Drosophila melanogaster: one gene and its partners. The protein of the gene in region 1 purifies or fractionates together with the protein of each later gene. This does not show direct contact. Each region holds a gene or a part of one and is shown on either strand. Other genes may lie near its edges.

Region 1 (8,572 bases):
TATCAATACGAGTACATATGTATGTATAATCTAGATCTGTGGTGACTTCATGTAGATGACATCTCTGATAGTAATCAACGACGATATTTTTACTTTTATTATTAGCACTAAACAAAGCTACAGCAGCGGAGCATTGTTATTGTTTTTATTTAGCAGAGCCGGTTTGCTCTTGACTCGAACACACTTGATTTAATATTCACACGGCGCGAGGCAGGGGTGTATCTTTTCGCTGCACACACATCGCACTGCCCTAATGAAGTCAACTGTTAGTTTAGAGGATAGTTCGCATTGGTGCCACGTCGCAGGCGGAATACCCTATTCAACAGGAAATTCAATATTTAGTTTAGCCAGCTGATGCTCGAGAACTCTGCAGACTGAACGACCACGAATGAAAAGGTACACGCAGCTCGATTTAAAACGAGGTCAAATGCAGAGCAACCACAGCAGCAGTGCACTCAGAAAAAATAAATGTAACTTAATATACTTCATGTTTTGGCAAACCCATATTTTTTTAAACTTAAAAGGATTTTCAGATTAGTCTTAGAAAAGATTTAACGTTGGATTTCTTTTTATAAGCTATGTGCAAGTGCAGAGATAATCCTTTTGTGAGTGCACGAGCTCGAATTGCTGATAACTTTTATCGCAGTCGGCCATATCGGTATCTCTCTAGAAATATATGTATGTATATTGTGTATCTGATAGATACACACTTGCACCTAGCCGATGCCAAGGCATCGGGCATCAAGAACAATTAAAAGCTGCACTCGGCCGTCGTGTGGGTGGTTGATGGCTTGCCACAGTTGCAGGTCATTAAACCGAGAGCTGGGATACCACAATGCACAATGCAGCCACAACTTCCACATCCTGCCGGCAGTCGAGCCCCCCTTTGAGCTGCGCCCCAAAAGCCGTAAACTTGCCGGTCTAAGCGGTTACTCAAACAGATCAAACACACACAGAGCGCTGAACCGGCCAAATCTATTTGCATAATGTGGCGGGCATGACGTGAGTCTTATGGCCTGCATGCTCGCCTGACATAACCATCAATGTCCTGGGGTGTGCCGGCAATATAATTTGCCTAATTGAGCCATAGCCATCGCTATCACCGCTGCAACTGGGCTACGGAGGCGTGCCTTGAACTTTCCTAATTGATTTTCTAAAGCACACGCGGCGTATGCGTAATGCGCTGTGAAGTCACTTTTACTTACTAAATTCAGGTAAATACCACATAACTGCACACATAGCAAGGTAGTTATATGTTTTGACACTTAACTAATAATAATTTCTATATATATGGTTTAATCTGAACCATTTCTTTTCTGTGTATCTTGCAACGCCCTCACCTTTTTGATCCTGATTAGCCCTCGCATTTGCTGGCTTCTGTTGCAGTTGCTGTTGTTGCGGCTGCTGCTGCTGCAGCTGATGGGGTGGTGGTTGTTGCTGCTGCGGTGGTGCTGGTGGTGCGGCATTTGCTGCTGCTGCTGCTGCTGCTTCCTGTTGCAGCTGCTGGTGGGGCAGCGGTGGGTGGGGGTCGCCTAGTGGTGGCACAGCATCCAGCAGTGAGCTTTTCTCCAGGACATCCGCCATATTGAAAGTCGAACGAGTGTGTGTGTGGTGTGTCTGTATTTGTTGCACTCACGGGAAAACTCGAAAAGGACTACAGATCTGTCGGTATTTTTCCTGTGTGTGTGTGTGTGTATCTTTGGGCTAGTCCTTTTCACTTGGAATAATATATTTTGGGTTCACTTTCGATTCGAGAAATGCTCGCGGAAATATATTTTGAAACGGCGTAAATGACAATATTTATATTTTGACTTGGCGCACTCACGCTCACTTACTTCACTGGCACTCTGCTAATTTATTTGGATTTTTGCTGGTGCAAATTTTTAAAAAAAGCGAGACAGCTCCCGCTCGGTCGGCTTGTCGGTTTGTTATCTCGATTTCAACTGATTCGTAGTCGTCGTATTTAACCGAAACTTTTCTGACACTTTTTTGATTCGACGTCGACGCAAAAGCTCAGCGGAATCTCAACCCCCAAGCTATTTTTGTGATTAGTTTATAATTGTTATTGTTGACTAGACGAGGAAGGTAGATACCAGGATGCGGGTATTTCCACCCCTTCTTACACTTACTATTTTAATATAATAAATAAATAATAATTACGAAAGTAGAGACAAAAACCATATTAACCAAGCTCTAAGCTTAACAAACATTTCGAAAGCTCTCTCTCGTTGAGAAAAAGCGAAAACGACATTTTAGTACACGGTATTTTAGTCTTTCGCCTGCTTCTCGTTGGTGGTTTGTGTCTCAGCTGAAGTATTGCAGTCTGCGGCGAAAATATCTAGATATTTCTTTGTGGATTCAGTATAAGATTTTTAAACTTTCTCTATTACTTTTAGTTTATTAAACAAGTCAGCCACATCTTGTATTAATATTGGCTGCCTATATAGCATAATCCCAAATTTTCCACCACCCTGATCTTCTTTTATATTGATTGTGCAACACCTCATCGGCCGCACAATTATTCTTAGTGTTTATTTAAATACATTTGACTTATTTCACTTTCACACATTCACTTGGTAAATTGAGAACGCAAAAAGGCCACAATTTACACATTTGGCGTTTTGCTAACTGCCCTTTTTGGACGCTTTCGGATGTTGAATTTGCCTAAACATTATATTATTTGCTATTTGGTTTATTCACGTCTCATATAAAATAATCATTAACTATTGCTTTGCTTTTGGCTGAACCAACAAAATAATTCATAACAAAATAATGTGCACAAAACTTTGAATATTTTTCAGTTTTTTTGTTTTCGTTATTTTATAATTTAAATTTTTTTATTTTTTAAAAAATAATATTATCTTGAAGTTCAATTTTGCAGTTGTAGTAGCAGAAGTAATTTTTAATTAAAATAATATACGAGAGAGATAGAGAGAGTTAGCGATGAATATAACATCTATGGAGAATGGTTGTCGCTAAAAGTTTGTTGGTGTTGTTGTTGTTGTTGTTGTTGTTTGTTGGTTGTTGTTGAAGCTGTTGTTTTCAACTATTTTAGCTGATCTGGTCTGTCACACATTCTGGCGAGGAATGCTGTGGAGTAGACGAAGAAAAGGGCCATATTAGCAAGGTATTCCCCAAATTTGTTGGACAAGTAGACATCCAGAGATCGGCGAAGTGGCCATGGGCTCCATCCCTACTTACTGTTTAGTCGAAGACGACAGGATCGCTCATCAGGCGCTGGACGAACTCTGTTTTCATTCAATTTCAAGTGGATCGGCGACAAACGGCGGGTAAACAAGACGCAATCACCGTGCAGAGACCATACGTTTGACATTCGGGAGTTGGTCGGTTTTTTTTTTTTTTTGCGAGTGTAGTGTTGGAGGAATGGACACGCAAACATGGATACACGCATACACATATTTTTAGGTTTGTTGGTGTTTTTCAGGTCGAGTTGGTGGTACAAAGTGCACAGTGCAGAATGGTGGGGATTTTTTTGGTTTGTGCGCAGACAAAGAGTGACATGTGGAATAGACAAACGGCGTTTACAAATCGTATATGCACAAAAAACATTAGATGAGTATCGTCCATTGAACGAATACTTACGAGAGTAGGGGATAAATCCTTCATCATCCTCGGGATCCATGCAGTCAGCGAACAGGGTCTCCACCTGCTCGTCATCCAAGCTCTCACCTGTAATGCACACAATGATTTAGAGGGATATCCCAGGATATATGCATGTTGATTACTCACCAAGCGCCAGCAGGGCGTGCTGCAGCTCAGCCAGCAGCATGGTGCCGTTCTCCTCCTTGTCGTAGAGCTTCAAGCACTCAATGAAGTCCTCGTAGCAGCCCTGCTCCTTCTCCTTCTTGACCTGTGAGTAGATGGGCAGGAACTCATCCAGCTTGATCTTCTTCTCGTTGCGCTTCTTGGTGCCGCCCAATTTCTCGATCAGCGCCAAGGTGGGGTTCAAGTTCAGAGCGCGGAGGGCATCACCTAGGTCGACGGCATCAATGCCCTCACCGGGGGAGCCCATGACTTCGAAAACGAATTCGACATCTGCGCAAAAGGAACTCGATTAGCATTTACATCTTCATGTTCATGTTAGTCGATCAAACGTAAATCCCATCAAATTTTTGTTTTTATTCGTTTCATTTTATTATGCTGCCTCATTAATTGTTTTTAAAAATACTTTAGCAGAGGTGGGTGTTGACCACCCTTTTTATTTTCGAAAACGGGGTCGATGTGGTAACCCTGAAATTTCTGGTACGCACATTTTTGGTCATCATGAAAATCTTGACATGGCTGCTGGGCATTGCCTACTTAGTGTGTGAGTGTATGCGTGAGTGCGGATCTGGGAGAGTTGCCAGCCCCGAGAACACACTACGTATACGTAATCCGACACCCGAACCGAACGCCTTCGCCCTCGTCTGCGCTATATACACAGTATATAGGCGTATATACACACACAAAGTCGCATAGTTTGCTCATCTCTTTCGCTGTGCGTTTGATCGAAAATAAATCTAAAGAAATAACTTGGCCAAAATTAGATCTCTAAACGAGAAGCATTTCGGCTCGAAGACGAGGATCGCGCGTTCGGGTTCGCGACATATACACACACGATTTTCATTGTTTTCCGCGGCTTTTCTATAACGCAAATCAAACTTAACTTTGCACTAGATTTTCTCTACCGGAATTGTGTTGGCAACCTTTATCCGTTCTGGTTTTGGATGGTCGATCGATGAAAATAGCTCAGGCGATGCATATAGACGACAGCATTCCTTAATGAAAATTTTCCGCATAGTGTTATATATATAGGCATGCGTATATGTATGCGATATATTCCAAGTGATTACGAAATATGTTCACCGACTTTTGTGTACTTTTTGTTGTGTATCTCACACGCGCACATTATGTAATCTGTATTTTTATGGATATTATAATACTTGTTTTTAGTCCTTTCTGCTGGGTTTTCCGTTACCTCGTTCATTTAATATGTTGGTTTAACTTTGATGGATTTCGTTTGAGGTTAAAGATAATCCTTTTCGTGCGGGGTTTTAACTTACTTTCAACTTCACGCTTTGGAACATCAGCCTGTCAACGGAATCGAAAAAGATTTGAGAGTTTGGCATTAGTTCGAGTGTGGAAAATCTTCAGTTTTCAGCTGCTGCATATATTTATGTACATCTATATCACTGGATATTGGTGGAAGATGTGTGAAGACTCCTTGGCCGACTGGGCACTCACCATTTTGTCTGTTTGATGCGAAAATCAACTGTATCGCGGATGAGCTCGGTCTCGACTGAACGTTATTCGTCAGTGGCAGTACGGCAAGGTAATTCTGAGGTGAAAGCCAACCAGCCGATCGCCGAGCACTCAGACACAGATACAGATACATTTACAGCTATAGCTTCGAAAACGAATTCAAAAACGAATACGAATACGAATGGATGACGAAACGCTCGCTCTTTTCCTGCGCAAGGCTATACACACACCAAAATATATGCTGTAGTATGTGCGATGGCAAGAATTTACTTTCATCTTGGGGGAACTTTTTCGAATGCCACTCTCTTTTGGGATCCCATGGATCCCAACGACCACCAGATATTGGGAGGCTCTCCTATGGAGCCAGAGCCATTTGTTGTCCGCTCTCTAGCCGGGCTATTTTTAAGCATTTTGTTTTTTTTCGGCTATTCTGTGAATATTTCTTTTTATTTCGTTCGTGAAGGCAAAATAATAATCGCTTGTGGCATTCCCAGCCGGATAGTGTTGAATATCATTCGATGTTACAGATGATTTTGCAGATAATATAATATTTTCTCATTCAGGCGGGAGGAGAATGGGTTTGAGAATTGATTGTTTAGCGCTGCGCAATAGATTGAGCTTCCATGCTGGGGTTTTACGGGGTATGTTTAGATGTTTAGATGGGGCTATGGGGCTATGTACTATAAATGTGGCCTATACATGTATATATTTATACACTCATCGACCCTGATCGTCTTTTTGGCAAACGTACGTATTTCTCAGGTCTTGCCTGTTATCATTCGAAATGTTTTGTCAGCCGGTCGTATGTGGGGGTGTTAAATGGCCGATTTCTTGTTTGTCCGCTGCCAGAACACCTGAACACCAGCCTTTTTCAATATTTATACACTATACATGCTCCAAAAGCATACTATTCCTCGTTGGCATCTCATCTACATAGAAGGCGCATTACTGGCCCCTCAGGCGCCTTCTTGTGCCTTGTGTGTGCCGCCTGTACAACATTTTAATGCGTGCTATTTATAAAAACTATGACACAGATACATGAAGCGTATTCAGAGCAAAAATGTACAGCAACAACTAAATGCTCGAATTGTTTGCATAGGCAAATGGTGGGTGGTAGGTATATAATGACCGATCAAGCCTGAAGGGTAAGCGAGGTGCTTAAAAGGCGGCAAATCTGGCAAGGAAGTGGCAATTAAGCCAAGCAGGCCATTGGCTTTGCCGGCACATCCATTTCCATGCACCCATGTCCTTGACTTTCTATGTAAATGTAGATGTACACACGTCCATGTTCGTGCCATCGGACAGGTCCTTCTTTGACCCAGTTTTGAGCCCAGCTGTGTGCCCAACTTCCGGCTGATGCTCATCAGACCCACTCTCTGGGCTGTCCTGTCTCGTCCTATCTCTCAATCCATTGAGTCCTCGGCTCGGCTTTTGGCCGCGCAGCCTCCCTGGCCTTGTTATTGTTTACTCCTTGGGGCACCACCTGTTGTCAAGCGGGTAACTGGTGCATGAGTATTTAGGCCGATTTGGTCCTTGATTGAACATCTGCTATCAGCAGCCGATTGTTGCCACGAATCTGCGCAGATTAATGTGCGCAAGTCATTGATAAATAGCCCCTTGAGACTGAAATTGTGTGCTTGTATTTATAGAACTCATTTCTGTAAACAACATTTACACTAAGGGCTTTTTGTGCTGGTAATCAAGTTATTTAAAATATATCTCAAATGCTTATCTTAAAATAAGATACAGAAAGAACTTGGCAAGAACTTAGCAAGGATAAAGCGTGCTTAATCAGCTAGAAGATTAATTAATGAACAAAGGCTATGGATTTAATTTCCACTCAAGTCCGAAAGGGACAGTGACTTATTTTTGGCCATTACTACTTTAATACTACACTATTTATTCGCAGTCGCAGTCCCAAAGACTCGTAGACAAAGGAGTACTAATGGCCACCCCACGGCGTATACGCAATGCCCATCCTCAGGCATTTGTTATCATTGATAAGTGTGCTTCGCAAACAGGGTGTCCCGATGGGAGAGTGTGTTATGGCATGCCATAACAAGTGCAAGGACACCCCTTACACGGAGAGCAGCCTTTTTTCCCGTCCATTCAGTGCGTATACTTAATACTGAGTGCGGGTGGTTGTACGACTCTCTGCGTTTGTGTGTGTTTCTCGGCAAAATATCCTGTATACGCACTGCTGGCCTGCTGCTGTCGGCATTGGAAACGATGGCAAACGGAGGACGCGGCCGGCTGAGAGGATAACAACGACGGGGAGCTCAGAGCTCGTCAGTTAACGACGCTTGTCTCAGTTGCATCCGAACGCTTCAGCCGTAAACGTTATCCGAAACTGGCAACGCGCAAATCAAGGTAAGCCCTTGCAGAACTAAAAAAAAAAAAAAAAAACTACTCGTTAGACAACAGAAAAAAGGGCAAAAACGGAAAAATACACAAATTGAAATCAAACAAAAAGTGCTTCAGTGTCCCTGTTCGGTCGCCAGCCCATGAAAGGTTCTGCAATTAGTGACGACTGTCCAAGGAGCCCAGCCCAGTTGGTTGAAGTGAAGCCATTTCCACTGGGTGCGGCACCAATCAAGCGAATCGTTGGCCACGTTTGATTTGAGTGTGTGCTAAGTGCCAAACAATTGATCGTTCCACCGGCGATTAATTGCGGAAAAGTGAAATTTTCCACAATCCCAGCTCGAGTTATATAAGTCTGTGAAAATTTTTGCCCCAAATTAGCATGTATACCAGAAACCCAGTTCTGTATCTATAACCCAGTCGCCTCGTTCTCGCCGCTGATGCGGAGTCTGCGTTCTGCGCAGCGTCCCAGGACCGAAATCTTGGTAGGTTTTTTCGGCAGCGGGGGAGTGCCATGATGGCACTGACCTAGTCGCTGGGAAAAACAAATTGGAAATCAACAGGAGCAGCGTGTTGGGCCTGCGCACGCAAACACCTGTTGCACATATGCTAATGCCCCAACCCGTCTTGGTTTTATGAATGGCTCGGCTCAGCCAGCTGTTGCACGCCATTTGATTTGTGTCCTTGTGCCATTCCAGCTGGCCACCATGGTGACCAATGCCGCGGGGACAGCCGCAACGGGAGGAGCAACAAGCAACACGACCAACAACAACAACCTGCAGACGAACAACAACAGCCATGGGGCGAACAACAACAACGATGACTTTGACTTTGACCAGGATAGTGGACTGCAGGACCTCGGCTTGCCGGTGTCCGTGCAAACATTCCTATGGCGGCAAATAGCGCCCTTTATCCGGCCCAAGCTGGGCAAGCTGCACGAGTCTACCTG
Region 2 (7,918 bases), on another chromosome or scaffold:
TCTGGCACGCTTCGCTGCTCGATTTCCAATGGAGCGGGCCATGTGAGTCACGAGCGGTGCGAGGAAACCATTCCATGCTCTTTTATGGTAGCTCTCAAGTGGTCAAATGGCTTTTCGGGGGTGCAAGCCGCTGATAAAAAGTCACGGGCTGCAGCGGTCAGCGGAAAGTTTGGTTGGAAAACAAGTCACCCGTTTAGAAACCAAATTGGTTTTCAGCCCAGTTCAATGAACCCGTCGACCAAGGCATAGAAAATTAAAATTTAAATAAGCCATTCGTTTCCGGCATTTTTCTCATTTCCACAAAAACACAAAACAAAATGCAGTCGCTTAAGTGCGAAATATACAATCAAGAAATGACACAATATGTACATATGTACATATACGTTTACGTAATTAAAGGAGAAACATATTTATTTGAAATAATGAAATGAAAACAAAAGTAACCACTTACATTACGGATCATTATCGGCATGTACAACCTTCTAGAAACCACTATTCATTTATTTCCCATCATTGCACCAACCACAATACACATATGTATTTAAAATTCCTCTAAGACTGACTGTTTTGACCCCGTCTGATTAATTTCAATTAAGATATAATCATTTGAAAGCAAAAGCTGATCAAAAGCAATGACGTCCACACTTTGTCATTGGTATATCTGGGCTTCTGCCTGCGGTTTCCTTCGATTATTTTGCGCTTTTCCGTTTGAGCAAATTGAATTATCCGACTCTGAAATAACAGCGCAAATATCTCGAGACTAGTGTGGGCGAAATCCAAAAGATACATTCCCAAGACGGATGCAAATAAAATCGGTTGGGGAACGATATTGTTTTTATGCTGTTCTTATCTATTATGAATTCCATTCTAAATCGTTTCAAACTCATTGTGCTCAGTTGGGATTTAATCTACATACATATATATCTCTATTGCAGCAAAAGAATTAAAAAAATACAGTCCTATATATTTTAGATTTGTAGTATACAGATGAATTGAAAACAAATTGGGCGGAAAGGCAACAAAAACAGAAACAAGATGTAGACAAGACACCAGGCGTATGCGAATTATATTTCAAAATGCCAGACGACTGCCTCAAGATTTTGAACAAATGGACTTTATTGACTATTTGAACTATTCCATATACACATCACTTCTCTCCTTATTGAATTCATATATATGGCCATACATACATATACATATGTATCTGTATCTGCGCCAATCTGTGCCATTTTTCTTCTGGACTTCCCTTCGGCTGGTCGGCGTTTTAATGGAGATATCATCCAATGCAATTAAAGCCCAACGATTTACTTGCCTCATCTGAGGGCTCGTAAAGTTCCACCCACTGGATACAATTTAATCCATAGCATTTGTAAATAATTCCTGCCAGACAGCGCGCTCCTTTAATGCGAATTTGTAAACTTTTGATGGGCGAATGAATACTGATTGTTTTTTTTTTCGTGGTCAGGGATATGGCGAAATATGTACATATGTATGCCTGCTTGGAGGCAAAAACATCGCCCACTATATCGATACTCCCACAGAAAATTCAGTGTGTTTATTGCTTTTACACAAATTTCTTAAAAGAAAACAAATAACGCAGCTGTAGAATTCAAGGAAATCACATTTGCCTATGGGCGATTTCGATTCTTGGTTTTTTGTTTATCAGACTAGCAATTGTATTTAAATAAAATACAATAGCATATACTGACGAGCACATTTCTACATAATCTTGAGGAAACTCGGTGAGATTTCTCGTTTCTTTTTTTTCTCTTGTGTTGGCATTTTCCATTGATAAATTCTTCAACTTGTGGGTAGCACTGGAATTCGCTATGATGACAAGTGATGACTGACCATCAAGGGAATTTGCAGTTCAACCCATTCGCTGACTCGCACTGACCTCCAGCTCTAGAAGAGGGGGGTTAAAGATCTCTGGAGCAGCTTTCTTTGCCGTTCAAAAGCGGGGTGGCGAAATGCATATTTACAGAAGCGACCGTTTCGCAAGGTCAACGGCAAGCGAGTGGCTGTCGCCCGGTGATATTCGCGATTGAAATATTCAACTGACAGGTTCAATAACCGCCTCGAAAGATTGCGATTAAAACTGAATACTTAGCCTCTATTACGATCAGCCTTCGACTTGGGTTTTCTACACGAGTGGGAAAACATTTAGCTAATCTCCCATTGAAAAGCGAGGGGCGTTATCAGACAGTCGTCTAACTATTTGCTTACACATGCATGCCAGAATAAATACATGTAATTACGCTGGTTAACAACAAAGAGAGAAACTACAAATGGAAAGGTGCCAAAGCAGCAGCAAGGCAAGAAAGCCTGCTTTCGAGGATCGAAGGCGGAGTACCCTAAACACATCTTTATTTATGAGATAAAATTGGCACAATTCTATATATTATGTTATACTGATCCCATTCAGAGCCAATTTGTAAGAGAACTTTTAGCCCACTTTTGATCTTTGCAACTTTTGTCCTATACCATCCTTAAACACAACATACTCCCACATAAACAAGACGTAAATTGTTATTTATGGCAGGCCAGTGATATAGTCATCCGTTTCCGGTTCTTCCGAATTTGTATACAAAATGAAAAACGGAATTTGGGTTCTGTGCATATTTTTTCTAAACAGATGGCATTTCGATTTGAAGATCTGTTTTCGCGGAAAAACAGGTAGATACATGATTTTTGGCCAGGTAGATATGTAAGTAGTTTCAAATGCAAGATACGACTTCTAAGATTTCACCGTTGCAGCATAACGTTGCCAACTTATGCGTGCAATTATAATACCCACTTGTAGGGTAGTAGCTTGAACAAAAACAATGCCAAGGAAGGCCAAGCAATCGAGCTGGGGTTTCTTCTTTCATCTCCTATTCTCGTGTTTTGTATTTGTTTCATGAGCTGCTTATACATGTACATACATACATATGTACATGCGATCTATGGCACATGTGAGCCACCAAAGTGGGTCACTTGGTGAGCATCCAGCCAGTCGCGGAGCAGCGAGCCTAGAACTGAGCCACTTACCCAATTTCTGCGTCGAGTGGCTGTACTTAAGTCCAAGGAATAAGCATGAACAAAAGGCAATTGGAAACGGGCGAGAAACCTTGAAATGCAGCATTTCAGCATCTTGGCAACGCATTCAAAAACATCTGTCGCACATATCCTGTTGGACGAGTCCGGGCAAAACAGATGCACCGAAAGAAAATTGCATGCAGTTTGAATATTTAGTAAATACTTCGTACTTGATATGAATTTGGACTGGGGAATGTAATGTTAATAATTCGACGGTTTTTTTTACAGTAGTATACTACAGAATATACACTACATTTCCAAGAAGAGCAAAGTTGCAATTAGTACTTGCATGTAATACGAGTACATTTGGATTTTTGAACGGCAGACCACAAAGTTAATGATGAATATCACATTTTGCAGTGTTTCCATGCTTTATTTATTTGGGATACGAATGGAGCACATCGTTTTTTGCGGTGCTTATCAACAGCAGCTGGCTCTTAAAAATCCAGAGGCGTTGCCTGCGACTGCGAGTATCTTCTTATCAAGCCGCTTATCACCTGATCTAACGCCGAAAGGAAGTGGCAAGTGGGTTTCGCTGGCCGCCGCCACCCGATGATTCACATTTCGAGACATTTACGAGTATGTTCGAATATAATCAATGTTTGTTTCGCGGAGGAAATAAATCGATAGAATTGAACGCGAAAAGCGGAAAACGGGAAGCCGAACATAAACACGGATACACAGGCAGCCACTCTCACGCAATTTGCTGTCGTTTGGGGTTCTAAGCTCATTGTATGCAAAGTGTGGCGCCCACTCACCAACCAACCACCCACCACCCACTTGGGCGTAGTTTCGTAATCAGTCCCCGACAAACTACAAAAAAAAATGGCACAACGCATTGCACTTGCCACTTGGATCTTGGAGCATTTGGGGCGACAAATGGACGAAGATAGCGACGCCCAAATCCGAAATAGCAATGCATATTGTTATTTATAGGCTTTCGCCGCCCCACCTATGTAACCCGCACTTTCAACTCACTTCGAGCTCCAGCTGCTGGTGCATTTTATATCAAATAATCGATGTACATGCGATGACAGCCACTGCGTCGCGCTTTTTTAATTACTATTCACCACGCTTATTGGCTTCACCTTTCGTTCGTTTGTTTTAAAACTCGAGAACAACGAAAATTCAGCAGCGAATTAGCCGAAAACGATCCGCGCGCGACGCCGACGCCAACGTACAGTGTGACCGTGTGGCTTTTGGCTTGAAATACCACTCACGAAAATGTACTAATATAAGTCGAACGGTAAAATATGCTTCTTAAATATATTTTTTAAAGTCATTATAATTTAATCAGATTCCATTCCATATTTTTATGTATCTCAGTGTATGACTTAGATATTCATTATTAAAACTGTTTTTCAAATAATTTCTTTAAATATTAATTTTAAAATTTGTTTTGTATGTTCTTGTTATAGCAAGTTATAATTGAAATTTATTAGTACATTTTGGTTGGGAACCTGGATAACAATGTAGCATTGACTCGAGCCGTATGGCCAAAAAACTCAGTCTTGATAATTTTTTTAAATTCTTTTTTGAAACTTGTTAGCATTGATAAAAGTTTAATGCGAAATTTGATTATAATGTCCCTTTAAAGCTTCGATCTTAAATTCCAAAAATGTACATATGTATGTAGCCCATGATCCAAAATACCGACCCTTTGCCAAACAATGAAAGTCCTTAACTTTTATAAAAAATATATATGTATTTAATTTCTTTACTTACATCGGAAGTAGCTTTATCATTTCATTCCTTTTTTTGGGTTATTTTTCGCACTTGCATTTAGATCAACAGGGACTTACGACTACGAGGAATTGAGCAGGCTGAATGGATGGGCGAAAGACAGCAAGAAGTGGGATAGAATGGGCACGAATAGATGCGGAAGGATGAGGGGCATAGGTAGGGGACATAGTTCTAGAAGGACTTAACACTAGGTATTGCTATATGTTCGGGGAATCTAGCTAAATGTGTCTGTGAGTCGTTCCTAGTACCGATAACCGCTGCCATCGTTGTCACCGTTCTGACCACCGGGTCCGAATCCATTCCGGCCACCCTGACCCGGCCTGCCGCTCGAGTATCCTTGGCCATCCTGACTATCCTGGCCGTTGCCGCCTGGCCGACCACCAGGACGACCGCTGGAGTAGCCATCACGTCCAAGATCCTGACCACCGGGACGTCCGCCGGAGTAGCCCTGATCACCGCCATCCTGGCCGCCTATCACACGTCCACCGATGATCACACGACCGCCATCGGATCCACCGTTGCCATTGCCGCCTGGCCTACCATTGGAGTAGCCGCTGGCACCGAGGTCCTGTCCACCTGGACGTCCACCGGAGTAGCCGTCTCGACCCAAGTCCTGACCTCCAGGGCGACCACCGGAGTAACCGCCTGGTCCCAAGTCTTGGCCGCCCGGCTTGCCATTGGAGTAGCCACCGGCGCCTAGATCCTGACCTCCTGGACGACCACCGGAATATCCACTAGGTCCCAAATCCTGGCCTCCTGGACGTCCACCGGAGTAACCGCCATTTCCGTTGCCATTTCCATTGCCGGGACGTCCACTGGAGTAGCCATCGGCACCAAGATTCTGACCGCCAGGACCTCCAGGACCGCTGGGACCACTGCCATCGTTGGCATCGCCTTCGTAGCGGATCTGTGGCCGGTAGCCCTGCTGGTCGGCTTCATACTCCACAATCTAAGAAAGACAAAGAGAAAAGAGAACGAGATAACAATGTTAGCCGTGACAGAAGGATGAGGTGGTGGAGCAGTGGGTGGATCCACATCGCCTTCTGCTGCCCGCCATCGCTGCCGCCGCCGCTTACTTGCTTCCTTCCGTCGGGCAACAGGACATTGTACTGGCCGGTGGTGAAGTCACCGTCGCGCATCTCTGAATGCCCGAACGAGAGTCCGCTGGGCGCGTCCTCAACCTGGTAATTAAATTCGTACTTGGCGGGCTCCTAAACGCCGTACAACGGATCATGGAGCATGGAGCATGGATCATGGACAGCGGATCATGGAGAATGGAGAACGGATTGGGGCGTGTGGAGAAAGAGAGAAACACAGAGAGATAGAGTGTCTGGGATCAAGAATTCAGTTTTCTATGGGGATGCAAGCTTTAAACGCCGATGGCTGTGCAGGTGAGCGATAACGAGTCTACCAAAGATTTGCAAGGGCAAGTGTGCAGCGGTGTGGGCGGTGGAGCGGTGTTCCCTTGTGGTCAATTCCACCCAGTGATCCCCGTATACAAATCCCATTTTACCATATACCCTATTTGCTAAGCTATCTCAAACACTTACATCGTTATCGTAGTCAGCGCCGCCGGGTCCACTGCCTCCAGCGCCACCTGCTCCCGATCCAGAAGCTGGGGGTCCGTAGGAGTCGGAGGGTCGGCCACCAGGTCCTGAGCCTGGAGCTCCATAGCTGCTCGAAGGACGTCCGCCGTTGCCATTGCCGCTACCAGGGGCGCCATATGAATCTGATGGTTTTTGGTTCTGACCAGGAGCACCATAGGAGTCCGATGGACGACCACCAAATCCACCTTGGCCCTGACCAGGAGCTCCATAGCTGCTTGAAGGACGACCACCGCTGCCGTTTCCGTTACCGCCACCAGGAGCGCCATAGGTGTCAGATGGACGACCACCGTTTCCACCACCAGGAGCGCCGTAGCTGCTTGAGGGACGACCGCCATTATTGCCGCCACCAGGAGCGCCGTAAGTATCCGAAGGACGACCACCGTTTCCACCACCGGGAGCACCGTAGGTATCCGAAGGACGACCGCCGTTTCCACCGCCAGGAGCACCATAGCTGCTCGATGAGCGACCGCCATTTCCGTTGCCTTGTCCTTGACCAGGAGCTCCATAGCTGCTTGAAGGTCGTCCGCCGTTGCCATTTCCACCACCACCAGGAGCACCATAAGTGTCCGATGGGCGTCCACCATTTCCGCCACCAGGAGCACCGTAGGTATCCGAAGGACGACCACCGTTTCCACCGCCAGGAGCGCCATAGCTGCTCGATGGACGACCTCCGTTGCCATTTCCACCACCAGGAGCTCCATAGGTATCTGAGGGCTTGCCTGCATATCCACCTTGTCCTTGTCCCTGTCCTTGACCCTGGCCTGGAGCGCCATAGCTGTCTGAGGGCCGTCCACCGTTTCCACCACCAGGAGCTCCATAGGAATCCGACGGCCTGCCGCCGGGACCACTCTGACCCGGTGCTCCATAGCTATCGGACGGAGGTAGATACGAGTTAACTGGTGGCTCCGGTCGCCCAAGGACCACCATTGCCATGAGCAGCGTCAAGCCGAGTAACTTGAACATATTCCACTTGTATCTAAAGCTGAAGCTGGAACTGAAGCTCGGTCTACGGACTGATCGAAATCTTTGGGATGAGACTAGCGCTTGGAAGCAGCGCCGAATTCTGACTGATCTGTGGTAGCTGCCACATGGCGTATTTATATGAGGCAAAACCGAAAAACTGAAAGTCTAGGATGCACACACACGAACTCGACTATGAGTTGGAGGTGGCGGTTTTGTGGAGCGTGTGGCAACCAGCGCAACAGCTGCTGCTGCTGCTGTTGCTGCTGATGCAGCTGATGAGGCTGCCACATACGATCGTCTTCAGAGAAGCGGTGGCTGATTCTATGCGGTCGAAAGCAAAAATCTCAATCACTGAGCTTGCTTGCCAACACTTCACCACCCCGATCTGCGCCAGATTGCCACGTAAAGGGTGCCTCGGTCTTGGGTCTCGGGCTGATTTGCCTTCTTTCGGTGCACATCTTCTCGAGGCGCGGCGAGGTGGTGATTGTGCCCGGGCCCCAAACCTTTTTGCATCCGCCGTTGCGTTG
Region 3 (7,716 bases), on another chromosome or scaffold:
ACAAAATTTTGCTTTATGTGCAGCCCTGTTCGAACTTTTATGACCATCAATCATACGGATACATTTGTATCTTGTATCTACAAAGCGAACAATTTGCGCATTGCGAAATCGCCCAAATCGTACATAGTAGTATGTATACAAATATTTGGCCGTCTTTTTATCATAATCAAAATAAAAACTGATTGAGTTAACACCTTATTCGCATTCGCATTCGCATTCCCAGTTGGTTTGCGTGGGGGCTTTGCGTGTCCGCTTTATCAGCGATATGGCGACGTCTACCGATCATGTGCTTCAGCGGCAAATTTGTCACGCTTATCAGTTCGCTCCGAAAACGACGGGGGTGTTAGTTATAAAGGGGGCTTATACAATGTACCATATAGTATATATGCTATAAGGAGATATGGACAACAGACTGGGCGGGGCGCATTGTGGAAAGGCTAAAAGCTATCTGAAATGCTGCACGCATTACTGATTTAGACAATTTTACTTGCAAATCATACAGGAAGATATAAATGTATATATATATATATACAGTATTACAGATTTCTATTTGCAATGCATTTAGTATTGTTCGGCAATGCATTCTCCCAACAAGGTGACATTTTTACTGAGTTGCATAAGCCTGCGATTAAACATATTGTTGTAATATACACAAATGTACATATGTACGTCGATTGTTTGTGAATTAGTATTATAAGAGGAGGTTAGTCAGCATAAAGTTCATGTCATGGTACATATGTAAATTTGGATCATAAAGCCTTTATGGATGGGAGAAACCCTTAGCTGATAACAGCAAAAAAAAAAAACATAACGCTGTTGATACGAAGTGTTGATATACGATGGGATTCATTAATTATTTATTATTCTGATGGCAAGGAGGGGGGGTTTTTTTTCGCCGGATTTTAGCCATGAACATCTGAAGTTTGGTCAAATAGTGATGATTTGGTTCCATTATCTCTCGTATCTCGGGACCCTCGAACTTTCCATGACGTTTAAGAAGGCGGCGTGTTATCACGCGCATAACTAGAATTCTGGATTGGCATTAATCCAGGTGGAAAAAATGGTCCACTTGAGCTTTGCCCGCTGGTCATAAAATCCCTATTTAGATTCGCTAATCAAAAATGCGCACCGGTCGTAAAAGCTAATGTACAAATTGTGTATAAATTATGCATTTGCTCTTATGCAATCGCTTGATCATCTGTTTACTTTTTCCGCTCTCTAACGGCACTCTTCTTACTTTCCACTCTCTCTTTCGCTTACTCTCTAATTCTCTGTCTCTCCCCTCTTGGTTTGTTTTGGAAAAACAAAAGGAAAAAGGCTTGTGGGCGTTACGTAAGAGTTGTCACGATTTGTGACGTATTAGCGGAGAGGCGTTAAAAAATTTCGCGTGTTGCCATTTCGTCAAACTACGTCAAACGCAAATAAAACAGCGCTTTTTTGCTTTGGCCTAAACACTTGGCAGAAATATGTGGGTTATTGGCCAATTTGCTGCATATAAAATATGTAGATATATTGCATGTAATTGTTGGAAGTGGAAAACAAACAAATTAAACCTTTTCTACTGTAACATTTACAAGAATTATTTATAGACAAAATAAGCAAAAACCTAAAAGCAGAGAAAAGAAAAACAAAATTAAATAAAACGCGTCAGCACCAACATTTTTTTGGCACTCGGCCAGCGGCGGCAGAACAGGAAGAAGAAGATTTGGGGAGTGTGCATAACATTTGGGGAATCTACACGGCGAGAAATAATTGCAGCATACATTAATAATTAATTTAATAATTATCGCAGACTGCACAAATAACAAAATTGGGTCAAAATTACACTTGTAATTACTGTTTCCCTTGATTTTAATTTTAAATGAAGTTATATGTATTTGATTGTTCATATATGCATTATACATTATTATAATTCTGTTATTATTAAAGGACACTTTCAAACGTTTGTTTGTTATTAAAGTTGCCGCATTGACCTTAATTTCCTTTTTTGCCTGTGTACTTATTACCCCACGCAGGTCAAAGAGAAAGCAAATCACCCCCGAAAAAAATCAAAAGGAGGCTCGTCCTGCAAGCCCTTTTTTGTGTGTATGTGTGCACGCCGTGGGTGTACATTTGTACGTACGTGTGTGTGTGTGTGCTATTGATTTTTCTCATTACAAAATCGCAAGTACTATTCTTTTTGTCATTTTTCTCGTTCTTGGCATTATGCAATCCGCTCACATGCAAATGTGCATTGCCGGTGGGTGGTAAGTGGGCGTGCTGCTGCTCCTCCTTTTGCTTTAAGGTCATTCGGCGGACACTTCTCTTTTGCAAAAGAGAGATGGTGTGTCTTCCTTCTATCGCTTTTGGCAACAACAAAAGCACAGCATAAGCATAGTGACACGCATGAGAAACGAAACGGGAACGAATGAAAGGGGAAAATGGTATTCTCTGTTTTTTTCTCTGCTCTCTCTTGCTCGACCAACTCTCTCTGCCTTACGCTCTTTTTCTTCACTTCGCTCTGCGCCGTGGCATTTGTTTTTGTTGTTGTAAATTTACAAGAATAAGACCCAAAAAAAATCAAGCCGGACTTGTGGAAATTTACCAAAAAAAAATTTAAAGCGGGCGGCCCAAAAAGAGACAAAGTTCGTTAAACCCACAAAGAATATAGAGATTTTTATTTATAGGCATTCCGATGTTGCCAAAAAAAAAAAGAAATGGGCGAATTTCATTTGGCGATTATGTAATGTATTAGAAGACACACATACACACAGGCACACACATACGTACGTACATGCATACACGTTAGCACTTATCATTCGCCAACAACAATGAAGAGAATAAAGTTCTTAATCGCAAGCACATGTCTGGAAATTCTTTTTTTTTCAATTCCAGCGTGACGTGTGTTGAAGAAGAAGAAGAGGATGGGAAAAGAGGAGTAGGATCAGATGAGGGATGGGTTGAGGAAGAGCGAAAGGGAGGGGAGAGGACGAAGGTTTTAACAACAGAAGCGACACACTTTACGGTTAGCTAACTGGAAGGAGGTGGATAGAGATCCCAGGAAAGCATGGGAATTCGATACACTGGTCGAAAAGCAAAGGGGTAATTCGAAAAGTTAAAATGAAGAACTCACCTGTGCCTCGGACAATTTCCGTGCGGAAATGCGATAGAGCGACATGGCAATGCGATTACGTACGGCTGCGAGTAGAAGAAAAACACTTTCGCCTTGGCTAGAAAAAAACACACACACAGAAAAAAATTTGCTTTCCTTTTTCTGGAAGTGAAGTGTTCTTTTCGTGGGTCTCTCGTCTAGCAGCTGCGCGGCAACTGAATGGCGCCAATCGCATTTTCTGCGGGAAGGGGCGGCACGAGCGCAAAGAACACCCGCTAATTCCCACGCAACGGCGTTTTCCGCTCTCCCCCAGAAAGGTCACACTTAAGGTGGGCTGCCTGCTCTGGTACTTGAAAAAAAACGCCCACGCAACTTATTTAATTGAAATAGATGTTATATGCTTTGGATGCATTTTTGCTCTACTAAGATCCATATAAATTGACATTTGCTCGAGTGCAGACTAGTTTTCAATTCCAATTTTAAAAAAGTCTATTAGCTATCCCAGTCGACACCCCCCATTTCCATGCATTTTAAACCGCTCCCTGACATTGTCTGTTTGCTATAGAGTATAAATACTGTCGTGTGAGGGAAATATCTTTTTATTGCGGGAAAATCAAACACCGACTTTTGTAAAAAATAATCATATTTCAACTGAAGTTTTATAATAAAGCTTTGCCGAAAAAGGCCACAGATCAATAAAAAGTTCGATATTCACGAAGACGTTTATCATCATAACTTTGTTAAAACTTGTCGTACAGTTTACAATTTAGTAGTTTTAATTACTTAGTTTTAGTAGTTTTTTTACTTTTAGTAGCGAATTCGCAGTGCTAGGATTCCTACCACTTTTTGAAGGATTTAGGGAAATTAATTTTTGGGTCAATTTTTTTTTTGTAAGGGGTAACATCATCAAAATTTGCAAAAATTGGCCAAAAAATAGAATTCCTATTTTTTGATACAGTTCGACAGGGAATTTAAATACGAGCTCGACGAGGTATTGCATTCCGTATTCAGACAATTATTTTTAAAGTTATGGCAAAAAAAAACTGATTCTTTTATGACGGAAAATCGAAAAAAATTATTTTTGCAAAAATTACAAAATTATAGATGGGCATTTTAATCATAACTTGACTAAAAGTGATCACAAAGCGAAAAGAATAACTGTTTTGAGCAGCTAATTGCGAAGGCTAACCATCCCAATCACTTTTTGACCGATTTGGAAAAACTAATTTTTTGGTAATTTTTCGCATTTTTTGTAAGGGGTAACATCATCAAAATTTGCGAAAAATGGTCAAAAAATAGAATTTCCATTTGTGGATACAGTTTGATAGGGAATTTAAATACGAGCTCAACGAGATATGGAACTCCATATTTGGACAAATATTTTTAAAGTTGTGGCCAAAAAACTGATTCATTTTTGAACGAAATTTGGAAAAACAGATCTTGGCAAATATTAAATAAAATTTGTTTATGGTCATATGGTCTTGGTCACCTTTCTCGCTGTTATGGAAAAATCAGATGAAGGGAGATTTATATTAAAAGAAAACTCACTTGGGCATCCTGCATATCAGGCATGTTCAAGGTTTCCGGAGTCGCCGATTGTTGCTGCTCCTTGAGATTGCCAGTCACGTTATCCTTTTTGGAACGCATTCGGAATGAACTTGGAGTCCCAATGGACTTCGAGTCCCACATAGAATTTTTAGCCAAATAACGTCGTTGAAAGGCAAAATGATGGCCCAAAGAGCCATTTCCGAAACGGCGTACGAACATTACTACTTTTAGCTGTAAATATATACGATATTTCGAAGTTTCTAGTTCGCTTTTTCTCTTGTTTTTGGGAATGTGAAAGCTAGTGATGTAGGATACAAAAATTTATTTTGACAGGAAAGCGATTGCGATAAATATAGGGATGGTATCAAACAGTTCGGAATACTGTATATACTGTAATACCGTATAAACGTTTGCACGTTCTACTGTGACTTGTTGTTGTGATTGTCTTTCGATAATAATATAATATAAATCAAATAAATTGACTCAACTTTTCACGTTAGAAAATATTTTTCAACTTCGTTTGCAGTATTCGCCACTTTTTGGTATATTTTCGTCACTACTTGGTATTTTACCCTGCCCCAAGTCAGGCCACACTGCCTTGGTGTTATGCAAAAAACGTCATTTTTTTGACAATTCAACAGATTTTTTCCCTTTATTCGAGCGTAAGTCCCAGTTTACCGGCCAAACAGCCGACTGATATATACTTTGTACCACAGGAGGAGTCACCATGGCGACGGCAGTGCCGCATTGTCCCCCGAAACAGGACCTTCCACCGCCGGGCGGCTACAAGAAGATACCCTTTGCCCGCGTGCCACCGAAGAGCTACTTCACAGGTGAGCTCCTCCAAATCCCATTGATCTAACCATATATGTGCTGGTAACTATATCAATCCCTCGGCAGGCTTCACCACCATCGGCACCTATGTGGTTGTGACAGCCGTTGGCCTGGGCATCTACTACTTGACCGCCAAGAAGGTGAAGCGCGACGAGATCGAGATGCGTTCCGCCCAGAATGTCATCTTTCCCATTTTGGTCGCCGAGCGGGATCGCGAATTCCTGCGCCAGTTGCGACGCAATCGGGACGAGGAGGCCGAGCTGATGAAGAACGTGCCCGGCTGGGAGGTGGGCACCTGGTATGGTGAGCCCGTTTTCAAGACCCTGCCCGAGGATACCCTGGTCACGCCCATTTTCAAGGAGTTCTACGCCCACTCCGACTGGAAGTCGTACGCCAAGCGTGCCCACTTGAAGCTCTGGTCCTAAATCGGCCTAGTTAATGGATTAGTTAATGCCTAAGCACGCACCTTTTTGTTTGTAGATCATCCGCCTAAGCGCCAAAAAAAGAAAGTATCGACCAATTATAATGTCAGATCAGATTGGCTGAAATACCGATTCTCTTTGTGTGTGTTTAATCCAAATCCTGTGCTGGACCACCCGAGGTAGCCAGAGATTTTTACCAAACCGGGGGCGTTGCCGTCCAGCTGCAATATAGCCCACGGGCAGTGCTCAAAAATGGCCAAATTAGATGGATTTGGTGGCACCAACAGCGGGGAATCCCAGTTGGCTGTGTCACCAAATTAAAATCTAATTGAAAATCTGCTGCTTAGTAAAAATAATAAATTCACAACATAAAACACTACGAAATGCTTATGATTCAATAGGGATTATTAAAATAGCAATGAAGAAATCTTGAGCCATTGAAAAACATTCTTGATTTATTTTATTTTTATTTTTTATTGAATTCAACATCGATTTGACGCTCGTTTTGTGTGTCAGTATTTGGAGTTTCGGGTTATTACACAATAGCGGGTGATCGTGAGCTCTAACATTAAGTAGTCGTAATTATAAGTAAGTAATATATATCTATACATGGGCCATGATCGACATCCGTCGACATGCTTTTATCTTCAATTGTAAACCGCAGAGTTGGCCTGAAATCATATAAAAAAAAAAACAACTGTGTGTGTGGATTTGTGTACAACTAGGTAAAAGATAAACCCTTTCCTTTGGAATCGCTTGACGACAGTGGCCCCCGTTGTGGCTCCCAAAAAATACAATATGGGTGTGGACTTATGTTTGCGTGTAGATAAACAGCAGCTGCTCCTTTCTCCTGGCCCGGGCGGCTAGTGTCCGAGTTTTGCATGGGCGAATCATTAGAAACTAGCTCGTGCTCCAGCTAATCCTACTGCTCCTAATCTACGTACTCCTGCTTGATAACAACGTAACGCACTGGCGGCGGCGATTTCTGCTCATCACGCTCCGGCTCCAGCTGCTGCCGACGCCGCCAGTGCTCATCACGTTGTGGCCGCCTCTACTTCATGTCCCTTCGACGCTTGATGCTGCCATCGCAGGTGGGCAGATGGCGCTGTAGGAAGCCCTCGAAAACGAACTTGCGGCCGCAACGTACGCAGCTGAACTCGCGCTTCTCCTCCACCTGCTGCTTGTGCTGCCGCAGTGCCTCCGCATTAGAGTACTTATCGCGGCAGGCGTCGCAGGCATAGCGTCTCTTCACCTGGCCAACATCGAAGACGACGGTGAAGTTCTGCGAGCAGAAGGCGCACTGGAACTCCTTGACGACCACCTTCTTGCCGCCGTGCTGGGCGGCCAGGGCCACCGCTTCGGCCTCGAGCTTGTCCTGGTGCTTGTGCGACTCCATGTGGGCGGTAAATTTGCTCTCCTCGACGAACTTGCGATAGCAGCGGGTGCAGCGGAAGGGCTGCTCGCCCGTGTGCCGCATCATATGCTCCTTGAGGTAGGCAACCGAGTTGAAGACCTTGCTGCACACTTTGCACTTGCGTTCATCGGTGGAGATCTCGTTCCTCTGCCGCAGGCAGGCGCGCATATGAAGCTTCAGGGAGCCGGCGGCGCTGTAGCAATTGCCGCAATTGGGACAGTAGAAGGTCTTGTTGCGACCATACGGATCTTGTTCGGCATGGTCGATGGTACTCTCGAACACAATAGAGCCCACCTCGTCATCTTCAACCTCCAATTCGCCGCCCTCGTGGTCGACGGTGACAAACTCATCGTCATGCTCTACCTCCTCGCCATCCTCGAGCTCTTCATCCTCCTCGACCTCCTCGC
Region 4 (6,099 bases), on another chromosome or scaffold:
CACCTGCAAACAGTGCACTTTTCTATTACTTTCAGGCGACACGTTTTCCAATCACGCACAAAACCCCTGCAAAACTGGCACTGCGCGAGTGTTAATCCGAACCCGAATCTCGATCTGAACCCGAATCGGAAACTGCTGCGACTGCGACGCACGTTGCCAGCACGTCTGCCAGCGAACGACTGAAAACTGAAGAGTAGAAACACAGCCAGATAGTCGCCGAATGTCAGGCGAATGCGAATGTTGCTGCTGTTGCTGCTAGTGTTGCTGTTACTGTGTTACTGCAGATGTTGCTGCTGTCTCTTATCGCAGACGCTGCTGTGTGCTACTTTTACTCTTCGGGAGAAATGCGAAGAGTGACAGAAAGAAAGAGCAACAGCTGTGGTTCAATTTTCTAAATGCTCTGTGTTGGAAAGAAGTTATATTAAGTCTGAAAAAACATATAAGCTATCAGTGATACACAGATTTTATAGACTATGTGTTTAAGTAATAATAAGGCCAATAATATTACCAGAACATATTAAAATGTTCTTATATTTTAAAACTAAACATATTCTACCAAAATTAATTTTGATTACTTAAAAGAAAATTTAGCTTGCTAAGTCTCAGTATGTCAAATCGACTTCGAATTAAGATTTTTTACCAACAAATTGCTTTCGATTATAACATTAAATTAAGTGGTAATTATTTAACCCATGTCGGATCAATTTTCTAAATTGCATATAGGAACGTTCATAAGAGTACGTCAAATTCGTATTGACCCCCTGCGACTTCTGTGTGATTTTCTCTTTGCCGGTCAATTACCGGCTATTGCCAAAACGAAGCCCAGTAGGAAATTTCTTGCCATTTTCGAGTCGGACTCCAAGTAAGGGGAGACTGTCGACACGATTGACGCTTGACTCTTGGCCGCCGGCGTACAATAAATCATTGCAGTCAGTTCAATACAGCAGATTTAATCGCTAGACATTGCAGAGAAAAAAAACGTTTAATCATTTTAGGAAAATATTACAAATAAAATATTTTACCGAAATTACAGAACTTTAGAGGTAGAGCATAAAAGTTTGATCTACATATACACTTATATAATATTTAATAATAATAATAAATTTTTTATCAATTTTATTCACAGTTCTTTTCAGTGTATTTAAAAGGAGGTGTGGTGAGAAAAAGTTGAAGGAAGTTCGGGGACTGTTATTGATACACTGACGCATTTCATTCAACGGCCAAATGCGGCAACAAAAGCGAAACTAGAAACATGAAAAACAAGCGCGAGACTTTGTAAACCGCTGTTGGAACTCAAAGTGGGAAAAATAAAAAAAAGGGGCTGGCTAAGTGGGAGGGGAAAATCACGCAACAGTTGGACTCTGCTATAGCAAATCGAAAGATATAGGGGGTAAGGAAGTGCGGGGTTGATTCCATTTGATTTGTGGCTGGATTTCGCATTGAACGCAGTTGGGGACTTTGCGCATGCGCATGAACTTGACATTTCAGCATTCGATCCGATGGCTTTGCTCTAATCACACTTTATTATGGAGGAAGGGGTTGCATGCAAACAGCGTAGTGTCAATTTGAGGCAATGAGTCAATTAATTGTATTCGGAGGCGTAAATATGCGATGATAATATATTGAGAGCGAACGGGCTTTGTATACTAATAGATTGAGCCTGTGGGAATTTGTCAGGCAACATCTATTTATTTTAATTTTGGCTTGACCAAAACAAACTTTGTATACTTACATTATCATTAAATAAAGCTTTATCAAACGAAGAATATATATTATGTAATGTTCTGTAAAGCGGAAAAATTATAATGAGGAACCATCAAAGATTTGTTAGCAATAATGTTAATTTGTCGCAATTTTATTTATATGTGGGTATTTAATATTCCCAACTTCGCAATATTATTTACACATTTCCCAAAATAAAACGTTTATACTTTAGTTACATTTTCTTTATTGGCATTATGTAGATGTACAAGCATTTCCTTCCAGAATGCACTTGGCATTCCGTTCGAAGAAAACTTGTGATGGTTTTTTCACAGGATGCTTGGAAAATGTATGCTAAATAAATAGGTAAGCGAGAGAAATAGGCAACCACAAACGTGGCCGGGTGCTTAGGTCGGAAGAGAATTTTGATGACTCCTTTTTTTCGGGACAGGTATGAAAGGATCCTGTTCAGGTGCTAGGTGCGAGTACCCTGTCTATATATGGCTATATATACAATGTATTTACATAACGTGTTGAGGGGTCTAAAGTTCGACTTCCCCATCAATGGCAGTATCCGTGGCAGAGGCAATGGTCCGATCGACAAAGGGATTGAAGGCGGTATACTCCTTACAAGGTTCCGGGTGCGGGAGCGGCATTGATGGAGGCCACCGACTGGATGTGTCCGGCCAGAGGAGCGGTGTGAATGGCACCACGGGTCTGGGCAGTGTAGACGCCACTGTGAGCCACTGGGGCCACGACGACTGAGGGAGCATGAGCAGCAACCACAGCGGGAGCAGGGGCAGCAAGCACGGCAGGAGCGGCGGCGTGGATCGCTGCCGGAGGCCACGAAGCCACGTTCACGGCAGCAGGCCAGTGGGCGGCGGGAACGGCCCAGGGAGAGGCCACCACAGCGGGTCCGGAAACGGCGGTGTAGGACAGTCCATGTCCAGCCACCTGGGACAGCAGGGGGATCACAGACGACTGCACGCCCATGGCGAGGGCCAAGGTGAAGATAACGGCGACGGCGAACTGTATAATGCAAAATATATTGTTTAGTCTTATGAGTAAAACTTCCTTGTTGAATTACTAATATTAATCCAAGCTATGTTGTTGTTAATTATCAGGATAAATCCGTTTGATAACTCACTTTCATGGTGCTGTTTGTGGGTTTTGGGTTGCGCTCTGGTTGAACTCTTGTTCTGAACTGATCTGTCAACGGAGCTGCCGGCCAGTTTTATACCCAACTGCTGACCACATCAGCAATAGAAAACCGCCAAGTCGGAGGGTTCATGAAAGTGAGAGTTCACACACCATGACATGGTGGACACGGCTGACACTGCTCCGCATGCATATGATCAGCTGTAATGACATGCCTCGGATCTGAACGGATCGTATCGTATCGAATCGGATCAAACGGCTAGGTTGAACGCCTTCAAAGCGGTTGAATTCAAGAACTAGTTCTACATCTACAATACTTTGTTATTAGCTTATTGTACTAATCGAAATACGTACATTTATTTTCTAAAGAATAAAAAAATAAATGAAGAAGAGAGGATTGTGACAAGAAGTTAGGTTACCTAATTTGTATCTTTAAGGTGGGGTTTTTAACAATAACCCTCTCAAAAATGAACTAACTCGGTAGTGAACCTCTATTTCCGCACCACTCAAACATGCACCACCACAGAAAATGCATTCTCAGTGAGTGTGTTTCCATCTCCGTGGCCATGTGGGTCCAACTGTCTAAGTGAATGGCCCAACCCACTTTTCAGCTGCAGTTCCGGTAAGTTGATTTTCACTCCATCACACCGCCACTTTAATTACTTAATTGTTGTTTGTGCGCGATTAGCATTTCAGTATGATTTATAACACGATTCCAATTATGGAGCGATCCGTATCCTGTATAAGGCCGGCTAATATCTGATTTATGTGTCTTAAGGGTTAATGATATGCGAGGAACAGCCCACTTTATCGATCGATATTGAAATATAATTATGGGAAAATTAAGAGCTGAAATATATTATTCCATTTGAACAGAACTGATCTATAAATCTGTTTCTAATATTTTAAAGAGTTAATATTAAAATTTTAAGCCGAATAACAAAAAGTAGATTATAATCAATTGGACTAGTGTAACTATTTAGAATTCGAATCCAAGAGACAAAAGTTTGCAATTCGTTTCATGACATCTACAAATTCGTGTGTGCATAAGCCGCTTGTTGGCTATAAATTAACCAAAACTTGCAATTAACACAGCTGAAAGGCATTCCAGGTTAATCCGCTTTTCCAGGCTATTTCCCTAATTATTTCCACCTCCGATTACCTAATGGAATCGACATTGCGCAACATTCAATTGTCTGAAATGGGTCTGGAGCGTGGGTTACTGCAGCCCGGAACAGCCCACATAAATATATCGCAAACCCATTAGGTGCCGCAATTAAGTCAGACTTTAGTGCAAATTGAACCCAGCAAAGACAATTCAATTATGCCCAAAAAAAACTGCATGAGGGGAAAAACTTGTTTCGATGCTAATGTGGGTGAGATCGATTGTCGAGTCTTGGCAAAATCTCTGAGACACCAAAAACACCAAAAAAGTTCAAGTTGAATTCTTTCGGTGCGATGATAATCTGTAATTAGCGACTACTATAATTTACTCCATGTGCCAATTATTTTCCTATACCAGAAGCCCAGGTGCTGACTAAAATTGAAACTTGGTCTTTGTGCGATTTGTAATTAGCGCTAAGCGTTTGCATAATTAAGCATACGCCCTGTGGCCCAATACGTGCATATGATCTGGCTTTGTACCAATTAACTCGATCTAATGACCATTGGCCCCCAGCTTGACTACCGTTCAGCTGTGGCCGATAGTACTGCCAAGCAAATTAGGATTGTCACTATAATAATAGACACTTAAAGACAAAGACACATTTGATCTAGACATTCTTGGCAGATATGAAATCAATAGAACAATTTGTCGGCTTTTCAAGGTCGAGCAGGTGCAAACTAAAGACCCAAGGTTATAATTAACTAATATGCAGTTTATGATCTAGATGTATTTAATGAGAGCTAAACAATCATTCCAATATGGGATTGTTTGAGGTTGTCCAAGTAAAAGATTAAAACATTAAACATCTTGGCATATCGTACAAAAGTATTAAGCTATCTAGCAATCATAGCTTAATTATATATTGAATTGTATTTAAAAACAAGTCCAAACCTCAGATGATGCCTCAGATGAAATTAAACCTAAAATATACATTAACAGGTACTTTTATCTTTTGTTAAAGAAGAATCTCCTTAGTTGGATAGTAGTAACTTTTTTTTTAACCCCATTTTTGCAAAAACACAATATTTATGTCGTATAAAAAACGCTGATTGCTTTTATTTATAACGTTTTCGTCAATCTTTACATTGTTGCAGATTACTAGATTACAATGGGATATTTACAGGTTGACAGGGCATATCTAGGGCGATATGCCAGATAGTGATAGATATAAGAAGTATATAGTGATAGATGTAAAGAAGAGGAAGACAGGATAGCAGATGGGAAGTATTGAAAGAGTTCTCAAAAAAGAAAATTAACATGCTGTCGTTTGTTGGTTTGTTGTAGTTGTTGTAATTGCTGTTGGACTTATATATTGCTGAGTGCGTTGGAAAATGTCCAGAGGATATGGACATGGACCCAAGATCAGGATCGTGTTCGTATCGAGGGGGTTGGGACTAAGAGCGGTGTGCTTAACAATAAGTGTACAGAGAGAGATGGGTATTCATCCGGTTGGAGTAGTCGTGGGAAGTCGCTGAAGCAGGTGGAGATCAGTGATACTGCCATCCATCCGCTCCGTTTGGCATCGGTTTGGGTATGGTTTATCCGTCACTCCCGACTTACAGAGTTCCGGGGGCAGGGGCCACGTTCACGGAGGTGGCAGAGTTGATGTGTCCGGCGAGGGGAGCGGTGTGGATGGCACCACGGGTCTTGGCCACATAGACGCCCTCATGGCCATGGCCGGCGGCGAGACCGGGTCCCTGGGCCAGGTTGATTCCGGGAACAGCAGCGCCGTGCCATCCGGCACCGGTCAGACCCCAGGGAGCAGCGCTGGCATGGACGGCAACGGCGGCAGGGGCACCCCAGGGAGCACCGTTCCAGGCGCCGTTCCAGGCACCGTTCCAGGCACCATTCCAGGCTCCGTTCCACAGACCGGCTCCATGGGCCACGGGGCTCACATAGGACACACCGGGAGCGATCTGGGCCCACGAGGCATGAGCTCCAGCCAGGGCGCACACGAACATGACTACGGCAACGGCGAACTGGAAAACGGATTAATTACCGAAATTAGTTAGATCACCAGGATAATTTCGTAGAAACTCTTGAAAATTTTCAAAAAGTTTTTGAAAATCTTAGAA

What was found.
Region 2: the proteins of Mlc1 (region 1) and RalGPS purify together in Drosophila melanogaster (affinity purification with mass spectrometry, with the first as the bait; one large-scale study listed by BioGRID). This does not show direct contact.
Region 3: the proteins of Mlc1 (region 1) and kdn purify together in Drosophila melanogaster (affinity purification with mass spectrometry, with the first as the bait; one large-scale study listed by BioGRID). This does not show direct contact.
Region 4: the proteins of Mlc1 (region 1) and Acp1 purify together in Drosophila melanogaster (affinity purification with mass spectrometry, with the first as the bait; one large-scale study listed by BioGRID). This does not show direct contact.

The regions. Positions count from the first base shown.
Region 1 is NT_033777.3:27,654,866-27,663,437, forward strand, and holds Mlc1 (myosin alkali light chain 1), read right to left. Parts: upstream 5,313-8,572; 5' UTR 5,248-5,312; coding exon 5,245-5,247; intron 5,092-5,244; coding exon 5,064-5,091; intron 4,057-5,063; coding exon 3,751-4,056; intron 3,691-3,750; coding exon 3,604-3,690; intron 3,249-3,603; coding exon 3,205-3,248; 3' UTR 3,202-3,204; intron 3,091-3,201; coding exon of another isoform or gene 3,047-3,090; 3' UTR 2,213-3,046; downstream 1-2,212. Other genes in the region: unc80 (uncoordinated 80), read left to right, coding at 8,331-8,572.
Region 2 is NT_033778.4:16,780,021-16,787,938, reverse strand, and holds the start of RalGPS (Ral GEF with PH domain and SH3 binding motif), read right to left. Parts: upstream 4,269-7,918; 5' UTR 4,057-4,268; intron 3,170-4,056; 5' UTR 3,031-3,169; intron 765-3,030; exon of another isoform or gene 452-764; intron 1-451. Other genes in the region: resilin, read right to left, coding at 5,063-5,770, 5,898-6,032, 6,372-7,391.
Region 3 is NC_004354.4:6,347,878-6,355,593, reverse strand, and holds the start of kdn (knockdown), read right to left. Parts: upstream 4,966-7,716; 5' UTR 4,859-4,965; coding exon 4,640-4,858; intron 3,313-4,639; exon of another isoform or gene 3,158-3,312; coding exon of another isoform or gene 3,113-3,157; intron 1-3,112. Other genes in the region: ND-B16.6 (NADH dehydrogenase (ubiquinone) B16.6 subunit), read left to right, coding at 5,367-5,472, 5,540-5,898; CG3847 (uncharacterized protein), read right to left, coding at 6,947-7,716.
Region 4 is NT_033779.5:7,738,628-7,744,726, forward strand, and holds Acp1 (adult cuticle protein 1), read right to left. Parts: upstream 2,911-6,099; 5' UTR 2,855-2,910; coding exon 2,849-2,854; intron 2,731-2,848; coding exon 2,329-2,730; 3' UTR 1,935-2,328; downstream 1-1,934. Other genes in the region: CG7214 (uncharacterized protein), read right to left, coding at 5,581-6,003. UniProt on the Drosophila melanogaster protein: Component of the cuticle of the adult fruit fly. Could be involved in thickening of the hard adult cuticle.